2 linked regions of the Diceros bicornis minor genome follow. The protein of the gene in region 1 purifies or fractionates together with the protein of each later gene. This does not show direct contact. Links are inferred from orthologs where the notes say so. Each region holds a gene or a part of one and is shown in the gene's direction. Other genes may lie near its edges. The genes, in order: DOCK1 and ELMO1.

Region 1 (8,769 bases):
GCCCCAGTAGATAGTTGTATGTCGTAGATGCACATCCTTCTAGTTGCTGTACATCGGATGCGACCTCAGCATGGCTGGAGAAGTGGTACATCGGTGCGCGCACGGGATCCGAACCCAGTCTGCCAGCAGCGGAGCGTGTGCACTTAACCACCAAGCCACGGGGCCGGCCCAGTCAGACTATTTTAAAAACAAGGAAACTTAAGAGCAGCCAGGTAACTTTCCTAGAGTCAGACAGCTGCCAAGGTCTTGGTCACGTGTCTGGCTGATTTTGTGAATGCCACCCTGCACCATCTGAGGATACTGAGGCCCCGAAGGGGACCCTGAGGGCATCCAGCCTCCAGGGGCAAGGCCTTGACCACCTCAGGCCTTGCAACCCAGATCCAGGGCTCCTTCCATTCTAGGACCTCCGCCTCCTGCAGGTGCCCCGGCCCCCAGCTCCAGAGCTCATTGCTGTGTGTGCTCAGTGTGGGAAGGACTGCTTGGTCTGCATTTACATTCACAGTCACATTTGCCCACAAGGCACATTAGCACAGCAGGCAGCATCCTCTACTGAACAACATATTTGCTCTGCGGAGCTGGTTGAAGTTGAACACCCAGGGTCTGCTGTAATAACCTGCACAGAGAGCGCTGAGCAGTGCATCTGGAGGTGAGGCAGGGCCCAAGCTCTTAGGGTGAAGCCAGGCCAGGCCTCTGCTTCTCAAACTGGTTTTTAAATCTCAAGCGCTTCCCTTCCTTCACTTTATTTTATAAAAAATTTCAAACATATAAAAAAAGTAGAGAGATGAAACACTCACAGACCCAACACCTAGACTGACCACTCTTGCTTCGTTTCGTTTTGTTTTTGCTGTAATAAAGTCAATGACAAACACAGTGACAGTTCACTTCTACACTGCAGCACGCATCTCTAAAATACAAGCACATTTTCGATATAGCCACGATAACACTATTATTACACCTTGCAAAATAAATAATAATTTAAAAATATTATATAATACTGGTCCTGAGTTAAAATCCCCTGTTGTCCTTAACGTCTTTTAGAATTGGTCTGTTAGCAGCCAGTATTGGGTCAAGGACCGCACATTGCATTTGAATGTTATATTTCTTAAGTCTTTTAAAATCTAGAACAGTTCTCTCCCAGCCCTATATTCTTTTTCAATAATATCGACTTGTTGACGACACTAGACCAGTGTCCTAGAGAAGGTCCTCCCTCCCAGCTTTGTCTGACCATATTCCTTGTGGTGTTCAACTTGTTCCTCAATCTCCTCTATTTGCTGTGAACTGCAAGTTCCGTCTAAAGTCTTGATTACACATTTTGTGCTGTGTGACATTGTGTGCTGTGACCACAGGCCTGGTCATCTAATAGGATGCCAAGATCTGCCACTGGGTCAAAGGGGGCAGCTATTAGACGCCTCCCTGCAAGACCACATTCCTTCCCTTTCAGCTGGCCAGCAGCCTGCGGTCACTCCCTGTTTGAAGTGTGCAAAATCCATCCCTCCCTTTCTCATTCTCATCTGTGCCCTTGCCCCCAGATGAACATGCCCCGCCCCTCACTGTGCCTTCTAGTATCTCCCCCAAGGAAGATTTTGCTGAATTTACCTCCTGAGTGTGCAACGTGAATATGGAAAATTTTTTCAAATTAAAAAAAAATTTTTTTCAAAATTTAAAACTATAATATCGTGGCCGGCCCCATGGCGTAGCGGTTAAGTGCGCGCGCTCCACTGCTGGCGGCCCCGGTTGGGATCCCGGGCACGCACCGACGCACCGCTTGTCAGGCCATGCTGTGGCGGCGTCCCATATGAAGTGGAGGAAGATGGGCACAGATGTTAGCCCAGGGCCAGTCTTCCTCAGCAAAAAAAGAGGAGGATTGGCGTGGATGTTAGCTCAGGGCTGATCTTCCTCACAAAAAAATAAAACAAAACAAAAAAAAACCAAAACTATAATATCGATTTTGGTTTTTTTTGCTCCATCCCAAAATTCTGCCCTATCTTGGGAGGGAGTCACTAGTCTGACCTCCCACTGATGCTTAGGACTGGGTCACTGGGAGCCCCAGTGCTCTTGGGCGGGTCACACCTGCAAGCATGGTGCAGACCCAAGTCCTGCACGATGCCTGAGATATTGCTGAGATCTGTGGCCCAGTCATGTCCACTCAGGAGTTAAAAATGCCAACTGACCAAACCCCAGGGCTCCTGGAATCGGAGGTGGAGCCAGTCCCAAGCTCAGGCAACCACAGGGCAATGAGCCAGGGCCATGGACTCGATTTAGAGCCACAAGACGAGGCCATGGCCGGGGTCAGCCAGGGAATGCTGACGAACCTCCTCAGGGCTGCAAGGACTGCGGCCGCATGTACAACTTCTCAGCCAAGCTTGGGCACACGTCACAATAAGGCAAAACCTCAGTGTCTCAAACACAGTGTCCATGCTCCATCTGGAGTTTTTAAGCTCTGATTTAGAAATTTATTTATATGACAGTCTTACAGAAGTACACAATTCCACACCACATTTATTTATATATTCAGTGGGTCACTTTTATCAGCACGAAAGTGGCGACTATTCCAGAAAATGTGAATGTTTGAGCTCATCAAACGAAGAGGAGGCAGCGTCAGAGAAAGCCAACCACAGTTACAATGTCTTAGCTGTGCAGACGCATCTTCTCCTGTGATCCTCAGAACAGCTCTCAGAATGAGGTTGGTAGCATCGTCCCTACTTTATATGTAGGGATGTCAGAACCTGAAGGCTTAGAAACAGAAAATGGCCCCAAATGGAAGGAGAACGGTCAGACAGCTGGCAATGGCAAGGCCAGGCCTCCGAGGTCTGCATGGCTCTCAAGCCCCTGGTCTTTTGCTACAACATGCCATCTTCCCCAACGGGTAGCCACACAAGCAGAATTGAAATTGGGCATAAAAGAGAAGGAAAAGATCACCAAAATTTGTTTTCCAGGTTTTCTTTGCAGAATTCTGAATTCCTGGCAAAACCTAGAAAGCCCTTCTACTGCAGGCTCATTTTGTGCCACTTTCCTGTTGTTCCCTATGCTTCAGCAACACTGGCCTTTCAGTTCCTTGAAGGCTGTGTGTGCCTTGCCTCCCCAGGGGCTTTGCACATGCTGCTCCCTCAGTAGTTCACCTATCTAGTTTTCTGCTTATCCTTAAAGTCTGGGCTTACATTGTTTTCTCAAGGAAGCCCATCTTGACCTAGGGTAGGTCAGGCCACCATGTCATTTGTCTTGGAGCACCCTAGTTCTCCTGTACAGCACCTTTACAGTTGCTTCTCCTTCAAGAGGTCCAAGTCACCAGGCCATGGGTTCAGGGCCTGAGCCCCTGAGGTTTCTTTCTTTTTTTTTTTTTTTGTGAGGAAGATCAGTCCTGAGCCAACATCCATGCCAATCCTCTTCTTCTGCTGAGGAAGACTGGCCCCGAGCTAACATCCGTGTCCATCTTCCTCCACTTTACATGGGACGCTGCCACAGCATGGCCCGACAAGCAGTGTGTCGGTGCGTGCCCGGGATCCGAACCTGGGCCGCCAGCAGTGGAGCGCGCACACTCAACTGCTACACCACAGGGAGGGCTGGCCCCGCCCCTGAAGTTTCTAATTTCCACAGAAGGCTTTAAGTGCACGCATGAGGCTGCGTGAGACTGGAACCCAGTCACCTTCCCTCTGTGAGACTTAAGTTCTTTATCAATAAAACAAGGCCTGTGACTTTCTGTGAATCTGTGGTCGATTATCACAAACTCTCAAGTCAAAGGCAATGGCACTGTATCCTCTTGTATACAGTAGGTTTCTTCTCATCCACCCAAACTGACGAGCTCTGGGGACGTTCCACAGTGTTTATTTACTCTGCATTCTGGGTTGAATGGTGAGATTTCCCTGGCTCAGAGCATCCCCGAAGGCAGGCGACGGGCAATCTCTGCAGCAAAATGATGGCCCATCTGGCCCTTCCCAGGCCCCACTGGCCCCCTCGCCAGCTCTGCCACCCAGCGTTGTCCCTACCCCACGGAAGCCTTCCATCTTTTTACCTTCTTTCCTCCAATCCTTGAAGGCTCCGGGCCTCCTGCTGTTGTCACTAGTTCTTGGGGGCATGAGAGAGAGGAGGACAGCCGGTTAATAGTCCGTGAAGCCAAACTTCCTCCATTTAGTGGACTGCCTTCTTTCCGAGGCTGTCTCCTTCCTCCTCCATTTCTTGGTTTTAATTTTTCTATTCTTTTCCAAAATTACGGTAAAAATAAATAGGTGTGTGTGTTGTTTTAAAGTTTTCCCTGGAAACTCCGAAGCGCCATCTGTTACCGGCATGGGAAACAGGCGAGTCTGAGAACTCACCTACTGCGTGAAGAAGCTCCTAAGAAGTCATGTGTGTCTGCTCTAGGCCTGGCCTGGAGTATCCTCTCCCCGCCAGCACCAATCCTACCTCCTCTCTTCTCCCGCTTCACAGTCCTCCAGTCCCAGTGAACCAGCAGAAGTTTCTGCAAGCCCAAGGAGGCTGAGGCCTCGGGGCCTTAGCAGGCTCCGTCTGCCTCTCCCTCCTGGCCTCTCTGGGTAGCTCCACTCATCCAGCACTCAAGCCAGAGGTCACCTCCCTGGAAAACACTCCCTCACCAGCACTGCACCATCTCTTCCCCTCACCTTGGGTGTCCTTGCCCAAGCACTCAAAGCTGGCCTACCTATTTGTTGTTACCTTTACGCATCACCCCCTACACCCCCTAGCACACCTGGGCACGGGGTAGGTGCTCAGTTCAAGTCCTTCAAATGAAAGAATGAACCACGTGCTCTGGAAGGCTCCTCCCAGTGGAGCTCCCGGTTGGCTCTGCTCCAGGACTCTCCACCAAGGCGGAATCTGATTTGGGGACCTTACATCACCAGGCGCCCGTCTAACTCCCGTGCTGTACAAACCACACACTTCATAAATCTCATAGAACTCCCTCTCCCCCGGGGGCGCACCCCTCTCATTGTATGAGACCCAGTCCCCAGGAGGGCTCACTGATTGAAGGAAACTCCGCGGATAATGAAAAGACTAGGCCCCTGCGGGGGGTGCTCCATCGGGGGTGTCCGTGGGCCGGGAATGTGGGGACAGGATGGGGCGCGCCGGGATCCAGGGGCGGAGCGGTCGTTGGGCCTGGGTCGGCGGCGGCCGCGGGGTCCCCGGGCGTGGAGCGCAGCCGAGTCCGAGCGCGCGAGGGCGGGCGCGCAGCCCGAGGCCGTCCCGCCTCTCCCCGGAGCTCCCGGCCTTTCCCATCCGGCCCGCGACGCTCCGCCCGCCCCGTCCCACATGACACCGCCTCCGCCGCAAACTTTTTCCTCCCCATCCTGTCGCGGCTCGAAAGGAATGGAAAATGGCGGCCTAGGCGCGGAGTTTCCTGCCCGACCGGCGGCGGCGGCTCTCGCGGTGGCCTGGGGCTCGGGCCGCGCGCGGCGCCATGACGCGCTGGGTGCCCACCAAGAGAGAGGAGAAATACGGCGTGGGTGAGCACCGCGCGCCGCCCCACCTCGCGCCAGGCCTGTCCCGCGCCGCCGCCGCCCGCGTCCCCGCCGCCGCCCCGCCACTTGCCCCAACTTCTCGGGGCGCGGCGCTCCGGGCGGCCGGGGGCCCCGGCGGGGCGCGGGCGGCGGGCGGGGGTGCCCGGAGCCTGTTGCCGCCGGCCCGGGCGGTGCGGGCGGGATGCAGAGTGGCCGGGGCGGCCGGGAAGACGCGTCTCCGCCCCGCGCGCCCGCGCCGCCCGGCCGAGTGCCCGATCGCGCCCCGTCGGCGGGCGCTGCCCGCTCGGACCCCGGGCGCACGCTGGCCCCGCGCCCCCACTGGAGCCCGGGCGAGCCGGGCCGGGGACACGCGGGGGTGAGGGGCGGGTTGTGCCACTTTTCGAGGGTGTCCTCTCCGACATCCAGTTCTCGGGCGGGCACACCAGTGGCGGAGCCTTGCAGCCTCCCGGGCTGCCCCTAACTCGGAGGTCCCATTCTGCCCGCGGCCGAAGCCTTGAGTTTGGCTGGGCCCGGCCGGGAAGCCCGGCGTCATTGTTCTGCCGCGCCTTTTTGCTTTTTGTATGAAGTTTTGTGCAGTGTCTGGGGCTCATGTGGACGGTTTCAGGTTGCAATGATCAAAGCGAAGAATTGTGGTCTCCCCCAGTAGGAAGTGGCGTGCGCCACCCGGGCGGGCCGAGCGCGCTTCCCCCCACTTGGGGTTCGTGCCCTGGGCCGTGCGGGACCCTCGGAGCGGAGCAGCTGAGCGCTCTGGTGGCCCCGGGGCCCGGAGAGCGCGTTGGGAGGACGGGGACCTGTTTTGGCTCCGCTGCTCTTTGTCGTTTCCTGAGGGGAGTACGGAGACTCGGGTTGCAAGTTTACATTTCGAACGGAGTGAATACACATTCCAGAGAGCGAGGCTTTCTTGAACGGCAAAGAAACAGGCCCCCAGCCCGGCTCCGCTCTGCCGTCCTCCGCAGGGGTCCGCAGCCCGGCCTGCCGAGGCCTGTGGCTTCTTGCCTTCTCTGAACTGGCCTACCCCGGGCCCCGGTCTGGCCGCGGCTGCTCTCCGGGATCCCCGGATCTTCCCGGTGGCTTTTAGTCTCACTTTTCTCCTGCTTCTCAATCCAAAGTGGTGGACCACCTCCCCACCCAGGCCAGACTGTCTGCCTGACTTGTAAGGCCTTTTGTGACCTTGGCCTCCCCTCTGCCGCCAGGTTGTGCCCCCCCAGGGTCCCCGCTCCCCTCCCGCAGCCCTCCTGTCCTCCTGTCTCTGAGCCCGCGCACTCCCGTGGCGACTCCAGGAGTGTCTTGCCCACTGCTGGTCTGCTTCAGTCCTGGCCCTCTGACTTTCCGGAAGCCTCCTGGGTGGCTCCAGCCCCGGGGGGCTCTCCTCTCTGTGACTCCGGTTGTTTATCTTTGCTACATGTCAGCCACATGCAGTGGAGCTGGCTTGGACAGTGGCCTTGGGAACAGTCCTGAGACTGGGTACCCCTCTGAGCCCACGATGGCTTGTTCCATACCGGGGAGCAGAGGGCCCTCCTTGCTTCAGGACCACTATGGCTGAGCTCCTTTCCAACCTTCTTTCTGGAGATGTGGAAACTGAGGCTCAGACATGCACCAAGAGTAGCGGCAGAGGTGGGCTTTCTGACTGCGTGCTGAGCGTGCACCCTATGCGCCTCCACATGGATTCAGCCCCGCGGCACATCCTGATAGAAAGGTCCTCCTTAATCTGCATTTGATGAGGGAGGTTTGGGGTGGAGATGCTGGCTGAGATTGCTTCAGGTGTGGCGGCAGTGGGGGTCCGGGCTGTGGTGAGCCTGCTGGGGTGATGTGTATGAGGAGAGAGCTGAGGACAGATCCGCAGGGAACACAGCACCGAGAGATGGAGGAGGAGCTGGAGGACTGCGGAGAGGCAGGAGGCAAGCAGAGGAGCAGGTGACCCACTGCCCTGCAGAGTAGGCAGGTAGCAGCTCTAGCTCTGGCCCAGGGCTTGCCTCTCAGTCCTGGGCAGTGGTGACTACCATCACTCCCATTTTACAGAGGCAGAGAGAAGATAAATTGCTTGCCCTCTCTCGCACCACTTGTAAGTGCTACTTCCTGGATTTGAACCCTGCCTGTGGCTCTAGAGTTCACGCTCTCCCCCACTCTGTGCACCAGGAGAGGGGGAGGGGCTTCTCTTTGGAGCAGCACCACATCCTAAGACACTTTGATGCCTTTCCTTTGCTCCCAGGGTGACCTGATGGTGTCAGTGAGGACACTGTAAGTGTGGACACCTATAGAGTGGCTTGACCCTTGTGTCTAGAGAAGACCAAAGGGTAAGTTCAGGGATAGAGCGAGCAGGGTCTCCTCACTGGGCAGGCGGCTGTGGGCAAGAACGTGGCTGTGTTCCTCCCCATCAAGTCACATGCCTTGCAGAAGCTTCCCTGGCACTCACTGCAGTGACTTCTAAGATCACACCTTTGGCTAATACTTTGGTTTTAAGAAAACTTTGTATTGAAAAGTTTCCAAAGAAAAGTATCCTGGATGGTTGTGCCAGGCATGTCTAGGAAGGCTGTGAATGGCTGTCAGGTAGAGGAGAGGGGGCTGTTTTGCTTAGTTTCACCAGCTCGAGATGAGGCAGCTGAACTGGGTGGAAATAAGACAGCACAACTCACTCAGCATCAGAAAGAGCTTTAAATGACTAGAGCCCCTTCAGGGAGGGCAGACGGGCCTGGACCGATTTTGGGCAGAAGGGAAGGCTGGGGTGCTTGCATTGGGGTCATCCCAGGCTTCCCATGTGTCTGGGATGCACTGGGAGGATTCCACTGTCCTCAAGAAGGGTGTGGACTGGGGAGATGTAAGTGCTGGGATGTAGGGATTCATTCCCATTAGCTATTTGGCTGTTTCTGCCTAAGGGAAAATTACTGGAGATCCCCCTTACCAACCACAGTGTTTTTTTGGGGAGCCTAACAACAGGGCTCTGTTTCCCTAGAGGGTTTCTGGTGGATCTGTGGGTGGGCCACGCTTCCACTCTGGCCACTGACTTGGGCAATGAATGAATCACGAGGGGAAAGAAAATGATAAAACTCCATCTCATTTGGAAACATGAATCACAGCTCATTGTTTGCGAGGACTTGGACTCTGTTAGAAGCATTGTTTGTAAATGAGACACTTCAGTTATTTATTTATTTTGTAAAATCAGGGAAGGAGTAAACAGCTGATGTGTTGCTTCCTCAGCAAAGGCAGGAAATGCTGGTTCCCCAGATTCATTCCAGTGGAGGTGGGGGTGGGGAGTTGCCCGTGAAACTTATTAGCCTGTTAATTTCTTCCCTTGGGCTTGAGTTTG
Region 2 (7,968 bases), on another chromosome or scaffold:
TTCTCTTCAGGTCCACGCATGCTATTTGGCTCAGCTGTGAGTAATTACTGTAAATTGTTTTCCAATTTTTAGAATCAACCAATAGAGAATATATAAAGAAACTTTAATTATAGTGTCAGGACAGAAGGCAGCAGAATGAAAACGGAATAAACCTTGAAAATGTAAAAGTAATAAGTTTGGAAATATCGTGTCCTAATCACACACATCTACCCCTCCTCTAGCTCCAAACCCCCTGAAAAGAAAGAAAAGATATAAAAAGAGGGGTTGTGGCCACTCCAGAAAAAAACGGAAAGAAGGAAGAAGGGAAGGAAGAAAAGAGAGAGAGAGAGAGAGAAAACAAAGGAAGGAGGGAAAGAAGGAAAAAAGGAAGGAAGGAAGGAGGGAAGGAGGGAGGAAAGGAAGGAAGAGAGGGAGGGAGAGAGGAAGAAAGGAAGGAAGGAAGAAGGAAAAAGAAAGAAAAGCAGGCCACCAGAAGTTTTGGAGAGCAGACTGGATCAGATATAGAGAAAATTAAAATGGGAGGAAACCACAGCCCAACACGCAAACAGAATATTTCTATGACAGAGGTAGAAGCAATTTGGGTCAAGGGCGCTCCGAGTCCAGTGTAAACACACATGGAGGCAGGAGGATGCCCAAGGGCACTCAGGGTGATTAACTGTGGGGCTACTCTGCTCCCTCCATCACCACTTTGCTAAGCGGCTCGTGGCCTTAGCCTCGTATCCAGGTGGAGCAGTGAATGTGAGCACTGGGGCTGAAGAGGCTGGGCTCCATTTAATCATTTAAATCTCCTAGAGAGGGTGCGACCACACACAGACATAAACTCCCAGGACCACCACCGGGCAGCCCGTCTCCCTCTTCCCCAGGATCATCAGTTGCAAGTTACAGATAACAGAAACAGCAGTGACAGGAGAGCAGAGAATCACATACGCCAAGTTAAGCACCCAGCCAAGGTGACATCAGTCTTCATTGAGTAACTATAACCTAAGGAAATAGAGTTCATAGGGCAAATAAAAGAAGAATTTGAAAGAAGTATCATTAATATCCTCACAGTAAATAAGAGAGGATATAATATCCATAACGTGAGAACAGCTGATGTCTTAGGTCAGGTTCCCCAGGGAACAGACTCTGAAACTGAGGTCTGCATGCAGGGTTGACCCCAGTGGCTCTGGAGTGCAGGTGTCTGTCTGCTGCCCGGACTTTGTTACCTCTGGTGTCGCAGCCTCCTGGAGCTGAGGCCATTTTCTCTGCCTCCAAGAGCTGTTCGTAGACTGGAGTCAAGCCAACATGAGCCTGATTCTAAGACAGGAAAAGAGAATAGATTCTTCAAGCTATAGATCAAGGAAGTTGAGGCTGATTGGAGTAGAATTCTGAAGCAAATTACTAAATGCATTACTAAATGCACAACGTCCATTTGAAGTCCAATAAGTTTTTTTTAATGAAGTAGAAATCAATATTTGTGCGCACTTAGAAAGAGTTGATCAACATGAGTCATCATTGATGAAAAATATAACAGGCCGTTTTTGCAGTTTGGGGTTTCATGGTGATATTCTGATAAACTTCCAGTTACCCCTCCTATCTTGGAGTTCTGCATACACAAGGAAGAATAAAGATATGGGAAACACAGGATCAAGGTACTAAAATATGGGAAATTTCCCCAAACACACCTCTCCAGCTGTCAACAATGCAAAGCCGTCTTGTAAGCACGGTTGGAGAGAGCAGGTTAGATTTGAGGGTCCACTGAGTTTTGTTCTCTAGCCAACTATCCCTACCCTACTTCCTCTTCTCCATCCTGAAACTGAGATGGGTGGTCCTGCAGAGGAGATCCTGAGTCCACTTCCCTACCACCCGAGATGTAGATGAGGCTGGCCCATCTGCAGAGTCTAAGCCCTGCCCAGGTGGACCCACTGCAAGTGCTACTGAAGGGCTGCACTTGGATTCCGGTCCTTACCCTAAAATGGCTGTCCTCTCTACTGCAGTGTAACTTAACAATTGAATGGTCCAGGTTTGACCAGAAGCTTAAATAACATCAGAGCGATGATACAGGCTCTCTCCCTCCCCTATGGGGAGAAACTGATATATGGGAAAAGGGAGGGTGTTGCTCTTTTTTTGGACTCTGTTAACATGACTTGTTGATCAGAGGACTGTTATGGATAATAATAGCTAAGCTAACGGTTATTGAGTGCTTCTATGTGCCAGGCCCTTTTCTAAGAACTTTGCATGTATTAACTCATTTAATCCTCACTCAACCCTCCCAGGTAGGTGTGGTTTTAATCCCACGAGTCAAGTCACTTGCATAGGGTAATGCACCTAGTAAATGCCAATGCTGGGATTTATACTCAACAACCAAGTCTAGAGATGGAGACTTTGTACATGACACCACCACTCTACTGTGCCCACTGCAGACCACCAGCTAAGCCTAGGGTAGAGGTGGATTTCTCTAAGGCATTTGACATCTCTAAGATATCCTTATGAATATAATAGAAAAATAAGGCTTGACAATTGCATAGTTAAGAGGGTTATTAGTAACTGAATGAACCAGTGAACCCAAAGTATGCTGAGCCCCACCACGGCAGAGGGAGCCCCTTAGTGGGGTGTCATCCAGGACTCTAGTGTTCTAATCTACTCTGTGGACATGGGGAGACACTGGATGCCTGAATCAAATCCAAAGAGACTTAGAGAAGGTGGACCCAGGGCTTCTGTCCCAAAGACGAACCCCATAAGCATGGATATGGCCTAACAGTAACATAGCAAGGAATTTCCAGTTTTCCCCTTGCACTGGGATCAACAGTGAGATGTATTTGAAAAATAACTGACAAGAGCTCAGGCTGTATTAATTGTTTTTAATGGTTAACTAGTCAATTAATTTTATGACAACAAATTTTTTTTTAAAGGGCAGAGACAGGTGTCCTTCAAGGGGAAAATGGCGAAGATTAGAGAGATTTGAAACCATCTCACATGAAGAGGAGTTAGAGTAACTGAGAATGTTTAATCTTCAGACGAGAATGTTTAGGTAGAATGCAATGGCTGTCTTCAAAGACCTGAGAGGTTATCTCTTGGAGGAAGGATGTGACTTACTCCATGTTGACTGCAGAGGGCAGAGCTGGGACCAAAGGTTACAGGGAGGTGGATTTGTCTAATTGCTGTTCAAGGAGAGGACACAGAGTTCCCTCTTTACTCTTGGGACAGTTATGACAGCTAACATTTACTGAGTGCTCATGATGTCTGCACTAATGTTAAGGTCTTTGTATGCCTTAGCTAAAACGTTGTGGGTCAAATTCATACTTATCATTACAAGTATCTCATAGCATCCATTTACTGACTGCTTATTAAATTACCTCATTTGATAGTTGCCCTGTTGTCTGTTATTATTATATCATTACAGTTTTACAGATGAGGAAATAGAGAAAAGTTACTTTCCTGGAATCATCCTGCTTTAACTTATCAGCTTATAACGATCTGGACCTAAGTATTCCTGCTACTAATACTGCCTCTGGAAGTTATGCATATAATAAGGGGTCAGATTGGGGCTGTTCATTAGAAATATAATGTGAGCCACTAATGAGATTACTAAAGTAATCTTACTTTTTCTAGTAGCCACATTAAAAATGAAAAAGAAATCAGTGAACTCATTTTAAATTGTATATATATATAATATATATATTTATATCTTAACCCAATACATTAACCCAATTGACTCATTACGTCTAAGCTACTATCATTTCTTGAAATGATGTAATCAACATTAAAATTAACACGCTCTTACATCATTTTCCACATTAAGCCCCGTGTCTGTTTTACACTTACAGAACATCTCAGGACTAGCCACGTTTCAAGCGTTCAATAGCTGCCTGGAGCTCTTGGCTGCTAATGGACAGCCAGAACAGGGTTAAAATTGAAATCTCCTCTGGGGGGTGTTGAAACTTAAAGAGAAGCTTTGCCTTCCACCTTAGATTCGAATGCTTCCCTGCTCCCAGCTTACCTTCTTTCCCAGTCTGAGGGAAATGCATAGCGACTGCCTTTGCCTTTTCTGGGAGAGCCAATGTAGATATTTATGAATTTGGAGAGGACAGGTGTTTCTCCTGCAACCTTCCAACAACTGTCATTTCCCTCCTAGCAGCTAGGCCGGGAGTTAGCGTGCTTGATTTCTGCTTGGAAAGTGACTGAAGTAGGTTGCATGAATTAAGTGATGTACCCTAAATACCAAGTTGGGGGTAGAACATCTTGTTTTATGTAAAGTTATGTAAAATTAGGGAGTCCTTGGCTTAATTGATTAGAAATAAATCCTGTAGTCGGTAAATGCATAAGTGACTGTGAGCGGAGGAAGCATTCTGTTGTCATTTTTGCCACGCTGTCCAAAGGTAGAGGCACAGCGTCAAAACAAATACACAGCCTCTTAAAGTAGCCTTGAAACAGCCCACGGAAGTTTCCCCCCAAAATTCCAAACCAGTTGCCGAAAATGAAAGCATCTAAAAAGATGCCTCGCGCTCTCGGCCTCCCGGAGGTGGCGCTATGAGGGTGACGGAGTTAATTAGTGCCTGCAAAACGCTCGTGTGAGCTCATCTGAGAAGTCATGATCTGCACACATATTATTTATAGCAGATCTGAGGCGTGCACGGTGTTTGACATTTTCTTCTTTTTCAGTAGGGGGACTTCAAAAAGTCGTGGGTACCCCCCAGGCAAAGTACAGTGGGCAGGCACCAGGGCGCGGGCGGGAGGCGAACGCTCAACCACGCGTGTCCGGGCGCAGGTGCCGGGGGCGGTGGCGGCCACTCCGCAGCGCCGGCTCGGGAGGAGAGTTCGCGGCTGATCTCGGGATGGCTTGCAGATGCAAAATGTGTCTCTGGCCAGCAGGAGGAAGGAAGAGGAAGTGAAAGCAGCGGCAGCCGGCGGCGCAGCAGCCGGCCGACCCGGAGTGTAAGTGCGTGTGTTCGGGCGAGCGAGAGCGGGCGAAGATGGGCACGGGATAGAGGCAGAGCCACCCACACCGCCGCGGCCCCGAGCTAGGCGACAGAATCTCTGGCCCCCTTTCAAAGGTCGCTGGTCGTCAGAGCCCTGATCGCTGGGAACCCTCGCCGCCGCCGCCGCCGCCGTCCTGAGACCCCGGGCAGGTTCGTAAAGTTTCCTGGGCTGGCGCCGCGCCCCGACTCGCTGACCTCAGCGCGGCCGGGGAGGAAGCTGGGGTTGGGGCAAGGAGGAGGCGTCCTGCTCTGGGGGACGCTGGGCGCCGTGGAGACACTTTTGTTTCCTCCCTGGGGGCGCCGCGGCTCGGGCGGAGGTGGCCGCGGCGCCCTGCGGGATGAAGGCTGCGGGCGCACCAGGGCGCTCCGCAGTTGGGGGAAGTCTGGGCAGAGGGGGGCGGCTGGAGTGGGAGTAGAAGAGGAGGGAGGGGGCGCTGGGGATGGAGCGCGGGGCCCGGGAAGCCGCGGAGATGTTTCGGCCAAGGCCGGCTGGAGGGGGCTGCCGGAGGGCTGCGCAGTCAGCGCTGGGGGACTGTGGACAGAGAGAGTGTGGGATTGCGGGCTTGCAGAACTGAGAGGCTGCGCTGGAGAAAGGATTGGCGGCTCGGACTCCCGGCTTTTCTCTGGCACTCGCAGATGGGAGGGAATCCCCCGGCGACCGCGCTCCTTGGAGGGGGCGATGATGGGCTAGAGGGATGGAGGGCCCGGAGGGACGGAATGGGATGGTTAGGGCAGCTGGGAGTCCCGGGGGCCACTGTTAGTAAATACCCGCCTCCCGGGGACATTTCAGGGTCCCCGCCGGGACCGGGAAAGACGGCAGGGGCTTCGATGGGAGATCCTGGCATCGAGGAGGGGGCGCACTGGGCGCGCCTTCAGAGAAGGGGGGCAGCGGAGCTCTGGGGGCCCTAGAATCCGAGCGGAGAGGGGCGGCCGAGATCGATAGAGTTGCTTTGAGGAAGAGGAAATACAGAACTCAGCCGGCCCGGGGGTGCGCGCGTGTGTTTGGGGTTGGGAAGTCCGCGTTGTGTCGCGGGCGCGCGCGAGGGCGGCGAGAGTGAGCGTGTGTGTGTGTGTGTGTGTGTGTGTGTGTGTGTATGTATGGGTGATCGCAAGGGTCTCCGGAGCTGGGGACTCCCGCCGAGTGACCCTCTCCCGCCTGGGGGCAGTTTGAAGTTGGCAGTTCAGGGCAGGGGTGGTTGGCGGCTGGACCTGTGTTGACCTGAAGCCTCAGGACTTGGACCCCTGGAGGGACTCGGCCTCTGGACAGCTCCTGTGACTCACCGAGCATATTTTGTGATGCCCTGTGCCCCAGACCATGGGCCTGCTAACACTGCTGGCCATAAATGATGCGAATCTAATTCGTTTTGTTTAAGATTTCAGAGAACCTAAGACAAGGTTTCTGCCTCCAGAGGCAGAGGCCGCGGGCTTCCCGTTTGGCCCTGCCAGTGACTTGCGGGTGGGGTGGGTGGGGCTGTGGAAGAATTTTTGAGGTTTTTTTTGGTCCATAAAATAAAAGTAATTAATGACCTAGACCTGTATATCAACTCTTTGAGGGTAACTTTGGGAACTAGAGGGCTCTAACCCCTCTCAGGTTTACTTTTACATGGAAAAGGCTGGAAGCAGCTGTTATTAAGGGCCTCCTCTGGTCATGGTTTTTCGTGTTATCTCACCTCCATACCTGCTTTCCAAGGTCGTTTCAAGGATCATTGTCCCCCAGTTTTCAAAACTGGGAACTATAAGTTAGAAGGCCAGATGTCCTGCTGTCACATAGCAGACTTTTTCTTATAGCTGACCTTCTGAACCTCTGCTCTTTTCTGTGGTACATTTCCTCTCTCTTGAGGGCTGTGGTTAAATGTGCATGTTGCCTTCTTTTCTACTACATTTATTACTCATTTTTTTTTTTAATTAGATGGACTGGTTGTCTTCTTGGGAAATTGTGAGGGAATGACCTGGAATGTTGGAACTCTGCAGGGCAGATGATGTCAGGAGGGAAGGGAACTGGCTCAGAAGCTTGGTAGGTGTCAGGGAGGGGCACGCTGGGAGGCAGGCCCAGACCTGGGTCTGATGGAACTCAGGACTTGGAGCAGTCATTGGGCTATAGAACCCGTGGTCCTATTGATGGCCATATCCACACCACACCCCTCCAACCTTCCCTTGTCTCATCTCTCTGCCCTTCTTAACTGCAGCCACTCTGACTACCTTACATTTTTCTTTTTCACCAAGTTCTCTCCCCAGGGCCTTTGCACATGTTATTCCTTTTGCACAAGGAGATTATCCCCACATGTCCAGACGGCTCACACCCTTGCTTCCTTCAGGTCTCTGTTCAGTTGTCTTCTTACAGAGGGCCTTCCCTGATTACCTCGTATAAATTTTCCGTCTTAGCACTAATTAACCCCTGGCATTATATATTCGTTTATTTGATTATTCTCTGTCTCCCCCGTTAGAATGGAAGTTCCATGAGGGCAGGAACCTTGTCTTGTTTAGAGGTCCAGAATCTAAACTGATTCCCAGCATAGCAGGTGCTCAATAAATACTTGTTGACTGACTGAAGAAGAGGTGCTTATTATGGGAGAGGCTCACCAAGGAAATATACCAGGAAAATGTTGCAGCATCAGCAGCAATTAAGAACCCCAGGTAACGGGCTTTTACTTTTTCTCCTCTGTCTTCTCCCCCATGCCCAGCTGCCCATCTTGCAGACCCTTTTCTGCCTTCAGGAGACTCTTCCTGTAGAAGTTCAGACCGAAGAAAGGAACAGAGAAGTGATTCCTTGGGAGAGTGGAGAACCATTACACTTTGTTAATTACGCATACCCTCTCCAGATCTGGTGTTTGTTTCATCACTCTTCTTAGAGAAAGTCTTTTCTCTAAGCGCGTGTTGCTTTAGCCAAAAAAATGCTCCCCTAGGAAGAAGGGCATATTGTGAGGGGAGTGAAACCAGAGACTTTCATGTACCCTACCCTGCTCTCCCAGCAGATGGAAGTGAAGGCAGAGGAGGAGAGATTGTAAGGGAG

The links.
Region 2: the proteins of DOCK1 (region 1) and ELMO1 purify together in Homo sapiens (affinity purification with western blotting; 12 studies listed by BioGRID and IntAct, counting the BioPlex papers as one, with this or other methods). This does not show direct contact. The link is inferred for Diceros bicornis minor from reciprocal best matches to the Homo sapiens genes DOCK1 and ELMO1.

The regions. Positions count from the first base shown.
Region 1 is NC_080745.1:89,363,346-89,372,114, forward strand, and holds the start of DOCK1 (dedicator of cytokinesis protein 1), read left to right. Parts: upstream 1-5,279; 5' UTR 5,280-5,404; coding exon 5,405-5,450; intron 5,451-8,769. UniProt on the Homo sapiens protein: Involved in cytoskeletal rearrangements required for phagocytosis of apoptotic cells and cell motility. Along with DOCK1, mediates CRK/CRKL regulation of epithelial and endothelial cell spreading and migration on type IV collagen.
Region 2 is NC_080742.1:60,602,755-60,610,722, reverse strand, and holds the start of ELMO1 (engulfment and cell motility protein 1), read left to right. Parts: upstream 1-4,683; 5' UTR 4,684-4,914; exon of another isoform or gene 4,915-5,108; intron 5,109-7,968. UniProt on the Homo sapiens protein: Involved in cytoskeletal rearrangements required for phagocytosis of apoptotic cells and cell motility. Acts in association with DOCK1 and CRK. Was initially proposed to be required in complex with DOCK1 to activate Rac Rho small GTPases.